3 linked regions of the Coturnix japonica genome follow. The protein of the gene in region 1 purifies or fractionates together with the protein of each later gene. This does not show direct contact. Links are inferred from orthologs where the notes say so. Each region holds a gene or a part of one and is shown on either strand. Other genes may lie near its edges. The genes, in order: EXOC6, EXOC3 and EXOC7.

Region 1 (3,659 bases):
TTACTTTTGAATTCATCTAAACATATTTCAGACTTTTGAAACTAGAATGATTCCAGTTCATAATATTTTAACATTGCACACGTAAATGTAGTAGTAATTTGTATATTCATTAGTATGCTTTATTATTGTAAAATACTATTAATAAATTAAATATTCTTGTTTTTTCGCTTTATTAACTAATTTGCCAGGGATATTTTTGAAGCAGATAACTACAGCCCTATTCCTGTAGCAAATGAAGAAGAATACAAAATAGTTATAAGCAAATTTCCTTTTCAAGATTCAGAACTTGATAAGGTAAGGAAAAGTTTTGTTATTAAGATTTGCCAAAATCCAATTCGGAATGGTTAGAACAGAAATTATATTTCTAATTAGAAAGTAATTAAAAATAGAAAAGCTTGGTAGATTAAGAGTGTAATTATGTATTCATAAATAAATAGGAAAATTAAAGCTCTAATCACTTGCTCTGATGTTTGAGTGAATAATGAGACCTACTGTTTTGTAAACTAATAATTCATTTTAATCAATCCAGTCTTTATTTAATGAGTTAACTTAGATTTTGTTGCAAAACATTGGGTTTTGTAACCCATGGTATGTTGTATGCTGTGGTTTTGCAGCAATGCAGGTAATGATCATCAGGAATGTATTAGAGATAGCAACTTCATTATTTCACTTTGTAAATTAGTTATTTATTATCTGAATATGTGGGACAAAGTAGATATGAAGAGGCTGTAAAGAATTCTGCTGTACTGACATCCCAGTGGGATATTCTTTCTTAGCGTCAGCCATTCTCTCTAAAATTTTCTTTCATGGAAGGGTGATTAGTATGTTCTGCCTTCTGAAAGTGGTTTTGATGGAACTGATCAAGTAATAACAAACCCATGGTAGAATTTACATAAGGAAATTAAAGCACAGTGAGAGTAGTTGGTGTAGAGGGAAGCTGGTTTAATCAAGATGCACTGCTGCAGATACCTACCTGAAAATGGAATCTAATTTTATGATTCAGCAGGAAGATAGCTGATAGAGAACAATCAACACTCCAAACTTTAATGTATTTAAACGGATACAGAAATCAGTTCAATACACACCACAGAATATATTTGGTTTAAAATGGAAAAACTTATGATAGGTGAAATATTGGTAAGTGATTTTCCAGTATTTAATACCAATCTCTCCTTAGAATCAGAGGATTATCTTTATTTTTACAGCAGTCCTTTCCAAAGAAGCTCCCGATGTCTCAGTCAGTGCCTCAGATATATATCCAGGTTAAGGAATTCATTTATGCAAGCCTTAAGTTTTCAGAATCACTTCACCGCAGGTAATCTATAAGTACTGTGAATGCAAATGAGTATAAACTATCCCATAACTTCCAGGTAAACTAATAATTTGTATTAAATTGAAAATAGGTTTTCCTGGGTGCTTACTTGCTTTGTTTGTTTCTTAAATTACATGTGTAATTTGTTATATTTTATCTGTGATTCCCAGTGCTATGATATATATTTCATGTATGTATATACATGTAGGTATGGAATGCATGTATGTGTAAATGAATTTTGCTTAGTGTAGTGAACACACCAAAGCAGCATTAGGGCTTTTTTAACAGTATTGACTGATTTGGATAATCTGGAGATTTTTTTGTTGTTGTTTAACAAAGCCTGTATACTTTAATAATTATCATTTCAGAAATAATTGTGTAGCATCCCTGATTACTTTAAACACCTTACAATTTTCACTGCTTTGAGTTTCCCTAGTAATTATTTTTCCTGTAACACAACATGCTGTCTGCATGCTAATTCCCTCTTCTTTCCCACCTTTTCCCAAAGGAAAATATAACATTTCTGACATCTCCTGTTTTCTTGTGAAGCTTTAAAGCTCAGTTATAATTATGTAAAATAACGTGGCAGGTCTGAAATCTGGGAGTTATTTGTGACTGCTCACCCACTTCTGCTCCGTTAAAGATGTAAATGAATTGCTTTCACACGTTCTTAATTGTTACTGTTTATAATTTACACGTACTAATTGGTGCATGTTGACCTCCATGGTAACTCATTACAAAACACAAATTACTCCTTCCTAACTGCTGTGTCAATAAACACGTCCAAAATCTAAAAATAACAGGTTTTCTGCAACGTTGAAATGTAGTTAATGGATAATTTGGTAAATGAAAGAGGTGTTTTGTGTTAGATCACAGATGGCTTGAAGCAACCAGAAATTCAAGCACATGGATAATTCTGAATACTAAAAGTTCTCTTTGTAAGGAAGAAATAGAGTTTTACTGTCAAAGTATTGTCATGTTTTAAAAATGTACTTTTATTTCAGCTCAACGGAAATAGATGACATGCTTAGAAAATCAACGAATCTGCTGCTAACAAGAACTCTCAGTAGTTGTTTACAGAACCTAATTAAGAAACCTCACATAGGTTTAACAGAGGTAAGTTTTAAAATACTCACCCAGAACTGCATTCTTGTAAGGAAATTGGTGCTAAAACTATTCTTGTAAATGTGGATATTATATAGTATTGAGATTATGTAACGAAAATAAGTAGTGCTTACTTTAAAATTGAAATTTTAAAGAGATGAGGAATGTATTAACAAAAAAAAGGGTCAATGGCTGTGACATAAACAAAAACAACCAAACAATCAAAACCAATGTGGATCTAGTTGGAACTGAAGGATGATGCTTGTGCTACTGGAAGGAGTTAGACTGCTGCCATGAGTGCAGTGCAATTTTCATGTTTAGTTTTGCTTTAAAAATGGCAAGGATCTCTTGTGTAAATGAAATAAAAAGAAGATCATGAGGAGGGAAAGGTTCTAATTTGTATATTGACACACTTGTATGCCAAGCTATAAAATTATTCTGAGAAAGTTTTCTACATTCTTGAAATTGGTACAGAATATGAAAAAATCACTAATATTTTTTAGGTATTTAAATATCAGGATGGTATGTTATAATAAAAAAGTTTAAAATACAAAGCTGTTACTTTTCCTAACATTAGATTAGTGTTCACTAAAAGGTACTGGAGCCAGACTGCAAGTAGTGAAGATATTAGAAATCATACACCACTGTTTCAGTTATTATGCAGCATCTGTGTTGTGTAATTTATGAACTGAACATGAATGAAAGTCCTGCCTATAAAAAGATGTAAATAATATCAGTATCGTGCATATTTATTTCTAGAGCAGTATTATTACCATTTAGGGGGGGATGCAGTCATATATTTGAAATTTCCGAACTTCTTACTACATTGCTTTTATGTATTGATGTATTTATTTATTTTAATTGCAGCAATGATGTTTGCTTTCTTGTTTCCTTGCTTTTGTAGTATGAATTAGTGATTTAATTTTGGCAATATGTTATCCTTTATTTTCCCCTTTTTTAAATTCTGAAATAACAGTTGAATTAATTTCACTGGGTAGATATCTACAATCTTCATTTTTTTTAAAATGGCATTTGTATGTAAACTGTGGCATTACTCCTTACCGGTATTTGAAAGCTAACTTGAATGTTGTCAGTTGATAGCTGATAGCCTGAAATACTGCAGTAAACTTCTGGCAACACTGTTTCTGAAAGAAGCCCCCATTTACAAAAATCAAATGTCAATGAATAATAGAAAAAGGCATTTTATTATAATTATTTGTTTCTTGTAGCTTGTTCAAATCAT
Region 2 (2,727 bases), on another chromosome or scaffold:
GAATTACCCAGGTTGGAAAAGACCTTGAAGATCATCAAGTCCAACCACAGCCTAACCAGTACCCTAACTCTAACAACCCTACACTAAATCATATCCCTGAGCACCACATCCAAACGGCTCTTAAACACATCCAGGGATGGTGACTCAACCACCTCCCTGGGGAGCCTATTCCAGTACCTAACTAAATTAATATATTATATTAATATACTATCTGTATTAGTGCAAACCATTTATAAACCATATATAAACCATATATAAAGCACAACAACGTGTTTCAAAGCCTAATCATTGCACAGAATGGGGACTTTGGTAGTTATCACTGGCATAAGGCTCCTCTTCTTTCTTTCAGACGATGACCATGGAGGCCCATCGAAGGGTGGTTGTGGAATACATCAGGGCCATCATGTTGAAACGCATCTCTTTCAAGAATGCAGAAGAGAGAAAAGAGGGTGCAGAAAAAATGATCAAAGAAGCAGAACAGTTCAGATTTCTGTTTAAGAAACTCACATCTGTAAGTATTTGTTTCAACAACAATGTTAACTTAGTAATGATATCTGTGGGTGGGAAGGAATAGGGAAATGCAGAAGAAAAGAGCCTTAATATGACAGTTTGCAAAGGTTTTTGTCTTAATGGCTAAAGTTTCCACTACTGAGGGAATTTAACAGCATCGTCATTATTATTTTTATCACTATTTTCCAGGGATCTGGAGAGGACACTGAAGGACTCTGTGATATCATTGAAGCTATTGCAGAGGTTATCAAACTAACCGATCCTTCCCTGCTCTATCTGGAAGTTTCAACTTTAGTCAGTAAATACCCAGATATCAGGTAATTCTCTTTGCCTTCAAAGTTAAAAAGAGGTAATACAGTTTCTTCTTATCAGTGGGATAATTTGAAAACAATGTGTAATATGTTCATATCGATCATATTTGGAAATGTAGATGCTCTTTCCAAATGATGCTAATCGCAAACGTACATGTCTTGGACTAGGAGGTATAACACAGTATCACACAGTGTCACAGTCTCATGTGGGTTGGAAGGGACCTTAGAGATCATCAAGTCCAACCCCCGGGATTCGAGCCTCTGTGTAGCAGAGCGGCACTTCTACCACTTGCGCCACAGGGGGGATTCAAACCCGGGCTCTGGTGTTGCAAAGTGGCATTCCTACCACTGTGTCACCGGGGCACAATATGCGTTTAAGTACTCACTGGTATGGCAAAGGAATAATGGGAATATTCCTGTTGCGTCTCGGGAGGATGAAACGCATCTTAAATTCCTAAGCGTAGTCAAAAATAGTGCCTTATAGGTAGCTGGAAACACCAGTTCTTTGTGACTCGAGATCTGATTATGAATTAGAGTCAGTGAAGGATGATGTGTGATATTTCCAATGCAGTATTATTTCCGCAAGAGCTAATGCCAGCCTTACCTTTGCGTTTTGGCAGGGATGACCACATTGCGGCTTTGCTGACGGTGAGGGGAGATGCCAGCAGAGATATGAAGCAGACTATCATCGAGACTTTGGATCAAGGGCCAAGCCAACCCAACCCAAACTACGTGCCAATTTTTAAAGAAATTACAGTTCCTACTCTAACTGTGCCGAAACTACTTAAGTAATGGACAGCTCTGTTCATGTGTGGGATCCCACTGGTGTGGGATTGATGGGTGTGAAGTATTAGAGGGCAAGTTTGGCAGTGCTATTTCAAGTAACATTCGATGCACACTAGATCTGTTTCTTTCTGAAGATGTGGAATATAATGAGATTTCTACAGGTGCTGATGCTGCTGTCAGCAAATACATTTTGAGTCGTGAAATGTGGCATTGCAAATGTATAAAGATACTTACACTGAAAATAACACGGCTGTGGCAGTGCTGGGTGTATATTGCTGTCCTAGAGTCATCGTCCCATGGCACAGCATTGGGTGTACATTAATGTCCCCATTCCACTCCCACGTTAAACTTGGTGTATGTAATTACTTGGGTGTAAAATAGTTTATGGCAAAAACCTTAATTATGGAGCCAGCTTCCTGGCCACGGGACTGTAGAGGGAATAAATAAATAGCTAAAAACAGCATGAGGTACAATATGTCTTTGTGGATTCACTAAAAAGAGCACACGAATCATCACTTGTTCAATAAAATGCTGGACCATGGCCATGTTCTGCTGTGTGTGCTGTGTTTTGGCTGAGGGGGGGGATGAACTTTTACATAGTGAAAGGTCTGGAGCACAGGCCTTATGAGGGGCGGCTGAGGGAGCTGGGATTGTTCAGCCTGGAGAAGAGGAGGCTCAGGGGAGACATTATTGCTCTCTATAACTTCCTGAAGGGAGGTTGTGATGAGGAGGGGCTTGGCCTCTTCTGCCAGGCAACAAACAGGACCCGAGTAAATGGCCGCAAGTTGTACCAGATGAGGTTTAGATTGGATATAAGAAGGAGCTTTATCTCTCAGACAGTGGTCAGACACTGGAATGGCTGCATAGGGAGGTGGTGGAGTCACCATCCCTGTCAGTGTTCGAGAGGCATCTGGATGAGGAGCTACGAGATATGGTTTAGTGCTTTGCTGTAGGTATGGTAATGGGAGGGCGGCTGGACTAGGTGATCCTGTAGGTCCTTTCCAACCTTATGACTCTATGTAAAAGCTGATTTTACATAGACAGTCCAGGGAAGCCGCGGGTTCCAGGCCGGGCCCGCACGGCCTTAGGAAGCACCGGCTTCTTGTCGCCATGGTGCTTC
Region 3 (3,659 bases), on another chromosome or scaffold:
GTACTTCCTTCTGGAACTAGTTTCTTTAGCGACCTCAAGAGCAGAGCTAAAACTTTTCTCACCTGAGCATGAATAGCTCTCAGGAGTCCCAACCTGACAGTGGCTGGACACTGAGGAGACTGTTCTTGGTACTGCTGTTGTACTCTAACCAGAGAATGTGGCGGAGAAAGAAGGTAATTAGTCACCTTGTAGTCCAGTTACAGCTAAAAGAGGACCTTGTTCAGTACAGTCACAGGGAATTGGTTTTGTGTCAGATTTAGAGCTAATTTTCTAAGGCATCCTCTCTCAACACTACAGTATCAATCAATCTGATAAGTACCTGATAAAAGCAAATGTGGAAGGCCAGCAGAGAAATGCTCTGCACAACTTGGAGCTCTCCACACAACCAACTATATGGTCATGGCAGACTGGAGGACAGGACACACCATAAGGCAAAGGACAGGAGGAGAACCAGTTCACACAGTGCACGCTGAGGTTTGATCTTTTTAGGGAACATGTCCAGGTGATTTGGGACAGGAACTGCATGCCCAAATAAACCCCATGCATGTACCTTGAGATGCCAGCATGGCACCTGCCGTCTCCTGGAAATCCAATAATTGCTGTAGGAAAAGGATGGCCTGGAAGAGAGGAAGGGAAGTGAGGAAACACAGTCAATTGTTTTTATGCTCTGCTATTAAGGATCATGAAGGAACACATCTCTTCTTACTCAAAAGCCTTCAAAAAAGAGATTACTGTGCTCTTTTGAGTTGCTGGGTTTTACCCACACAACCACATCACATCTTAGAATAGGCAACCAGCTAATTTTTTCCATGGAAGCTGGTTAACTGCCCTTCTAACACCAAGACAGCTTAATTTAAAACCAGAAATTTCCCCGCTGCTCTCCCTAAAATCTTTTCAGGGGCTGTTTTTGACTACAAATGATTCAAATCATCATCACATACGTTGCTGGTGAGTTCATGAACTGTCCCATCTTTCGGCATGTTATATTCCTTGTCTGGATCATTCTAAGAAGAAAGAAAGAAACATATGGTGAGCACGTAAGGAAACTGAAGGCATCTACAATACAACCACTGCTGCAAGCGAGCTGTATGCTTGTTCATTTAGCCTCTCAACACCTCCATACTTGTTTCTCACAGTGCCACCTCCTGGTGCTCAGTACACTCTGGCAGCTCAGGATCACAGGGGTTTTGTTCAGGACACGACCAAAAGTTCAGCTCACTTAAAGGTCACTGCAATGACCAAACCCCACCTGATAAAGGGACAGTTTAGCCAGAGTCCTCCAAAACTTCTGAAATCAGCAATTTTCCCTTATTTTCAAGCAGGATTAAATTCTGACATTTGACTTGAATATCTTGTGGAGGCCTCTTGTATTTGAAATCAGCAGCCAGCATTCAGTAGTTGCAGCTGACCATCCAATACAATCCAGCAAGCAGAACCTCGCTTTAGAGTCAGAAAGTAGGTGCTCTCATTCATGGAAAGTGAAAAGCTCAGCTGGGAGTTCTGCTCATAAAACCTCCCTTTCTAAACTCATTTGTCTTGCTAGAGAGAACAGCAAAGGTAATCCTACCTTAATGTTGTCAGCAAACTCTTCCAGTGCCTTCGCACCAGTTGTCTCCATGGAAGTGATCAGCCCTGGCAGTTTGTTCTTTGTGCCTGCTGCAGTCCCCTGAAATAGTCCCATAACAGATCAGAGAAAGAAAACGAGCAGTAACTGACCCTTTGTCCAGCACCTATTCTTCTCTTTCCCCCCATACCCAATCATCTCATTCACCACATATCAAAAGAATATTGATAGCCCTAATCAACAATGAGTGAAATCCTGCACTCTTTGGTGTGACAGGAGAGGAAGATGATGTGACATTAATGACAACCAGGACTTGCTCCCTCTCTTGTATCTCTTCTTGTGCAGTACCTAACAGAGCAGGCTGGTGAATCAGTCATCAGCTCCAGCTGGAATCAGATGGAAAAGAGCCCTGCTAAACCTGGATGCCATGTCTGATACCTGGATCACCTCAAGGCATGGTCCAAGCAGGCTTTCCTCAGAGGAATTGATAGTCATACGATTGCTTTTACTCCTATCGTACTCACCTGCAAGACCTGGTCAAATTCTGGCTTCATCTGCTTGAGGTGCTTGAGGATAGGGAAGATGGTGAGCACAGCTGAATAGTCATGTCGGATGATGGCTTTCCGGGCTGCTGAGACAATGTTATCGCCCTCCATGATCAAGTTATCTAATGACTCCTGTAACAAAGCCAGACAGTCAGAAGTAAGCAGTGGCTTCTGCCCAAGCAACATAAGGGGCTGCTCAGAACCCATCAAGTATGTAAATTTAGCTGCTGGGTCACTTGTGGTACCCAGACACAGAGCACACATTCTCTATGACCAGCCACACTGGTTCCCAGCACAGGTCTGGGAAGACAGCATTAACAGTGCTGGTGCTCTTGGGTCATCCACAGCAGATGGAAGAATCCACATCCTCGTAATGAAAAAGCAGGGAAAAAGAATTTGTATGGATTCTTTATAAGGGATACCAAGGCAAGAGGCCCAACTGACCTGGATGAGGGAATCAAAAGTCTTCTTCTGGTGGTGCTCTGGGACGATCTCTGTCAGGAGCTGGTACTCACTCTGGGCCAGTTTGACAAAGGCACTCACACAGTGAATATAGGCATCGATCTCGATGTCGAACACATCATCCCTCCCTGTAAGGGCAAGATGTTTTTAAGAGAACCAATTATGCACTGAACTTCCAGCAGCTCTGCTCGCTCCAAGGCCTCAGGTTACACAAAAAGCACACAGTTCTTCTTAAACAAGCAGTGCTGGCTTTGTCCCCTTGGTTTGTGCATGGAAAGCTCTGCACACCCCAAAGGAGGCATGCAGAGTCATCTGTGGTTCAAGAAACTGACACAGCAGGATAACATCAACTCTTCCCAGCCTCGTGACAGAAGGCAAGTTTGAAACTCTTCTGGGATGCAAACTTAATTTAAACAAGGGCTTGAACAAAGAGTACTACACTAAGGATGGTCTGAGGTGAATTATTCAGCGCCTCTCCTTGTATTTTTAGGCTTCCTTATCCCCATTTGTCTGGTAGATGAAGAACTGGCACACTGCATCCGCATTTCTGGGAAATCAAGGCTGTACTGGAAGGCAGCCTCTTCCCATAGGCAGTAACTAAAGAGAACAACAGGCAGAAGGACAACTAAAACCTATGAAGCAGGAATACAGACACAGTTAGGTGAGGTATCTGCCACAAAATGTTGCGTACAAATGTGAATATTCAAATTCAAAGAGTATGAATGTGTCAAGACCCAGCAAGGAACCTATAGAGGAGGCATAAGAAGTGCCAGTAAGATACAAAGGCACACACCAACTCATGCCAGCCACTGGCTGGATTTGTCAACAGGACAGACACAAACGGACTCACATCATCCTGCAGAACTCAGATTCCTGTAGTAACCATTATAGAACAGCAAAATTAATGCAGAGAGGCCTTCTCTGAGCTGCAGGCTGCTGCCTCCCTCCTGCCAGCAGCATCAGCAACTATAGATGGAGAAAGAAGCAACACTGACAGGTACCTCGGGATGATCTTTTAAAGGTTCTGGTCAGCAAGTGACAAGCAAATGTGATGTGGTATTACACACAGCCTATGGTGTACTACCTGC

What was found.
Region 2: the proteins of EXOC6 (region 1) and EXOC3 purify together in Homo sapiens (affinity purification with mass spectrometry; 6 studies listed by BioGRID and IntAct, counting the BioPlex papers as one, with this or other methods). This does not show direct contact. The link is inferred for Coturnix japonica from reciprocal best matches to the Homo sapiens genes EXOC6 and EXOC3.
Region 3: the proteins of EXOC6 (region 1) and EXOC7 purify together in Homo sapiens (affinity purification with mass spectrometry; 4 studies listed by BioGRID and IntAct, counting the BioPlex papers as one, with this or other methods). This does not show direct contact. The link is inferred for Coturnix japonica from reciprocal best matches to the Homo sapiens genes EXOC6 and EXOC7.

What each region holds. Positions count from the first base shown.
Region 1 is NC_029521.1:17,890,444-17,894,102, reverse strand, and holds part of EXOC6 (exocyst complex component 6), read left to right. Parts: intron 1-188; coding exon 189-294; intron 295-1,205; coding exon 1,206-1,315; intron 1,316-2,316; coding exon 2,317-2,428; intron 2,429-3,645; coding exon 3,646-3,659. UniProt on the Homo sapiens protein: Component of the exocyst complex involved in the docking of exocytic vesicles with fusion sites on the plasma membrane.
Region 2 is NC_029517.1:80,101,350-80,104,076, forward strand, and holds the end of EXOC3 (exocyst complex component 3), read left to right. Parts: intron 1-349; coding exon 350-511; intron 512-699; coding exon 700-827; intron 828-1,441; coding exon 1,442-1,613; 3' UTR 1,614-2,148; downstream 2,149-2,727. UniProt on the Homo sapiens protein: Component of the exocyst complex involved in the docking of exocytic vesicles with fusion sites on the plasma membrane.
Region 3 is NC_029533.1:3,930,043-3,933,701, reverse strand, and holds part of EXOC7 (exocyst complex component 7), read right to left. Parts: intron 2,700-3,659; coding exon 2,554-2,699; intron 2,242-2,553; coding exon 2,089-2,241; intron 1,667-2,088; coding exon 1,568-1,666; intron 1,005-1,567; coding exon 942-1,004; intron 618-941; coding exon 551-617; intron 1-550. UniProt on the Homo sapiens protein: Component of the exocyst complex involved in the docking of exocytic vesicles with fusion sites on the plasma membrane.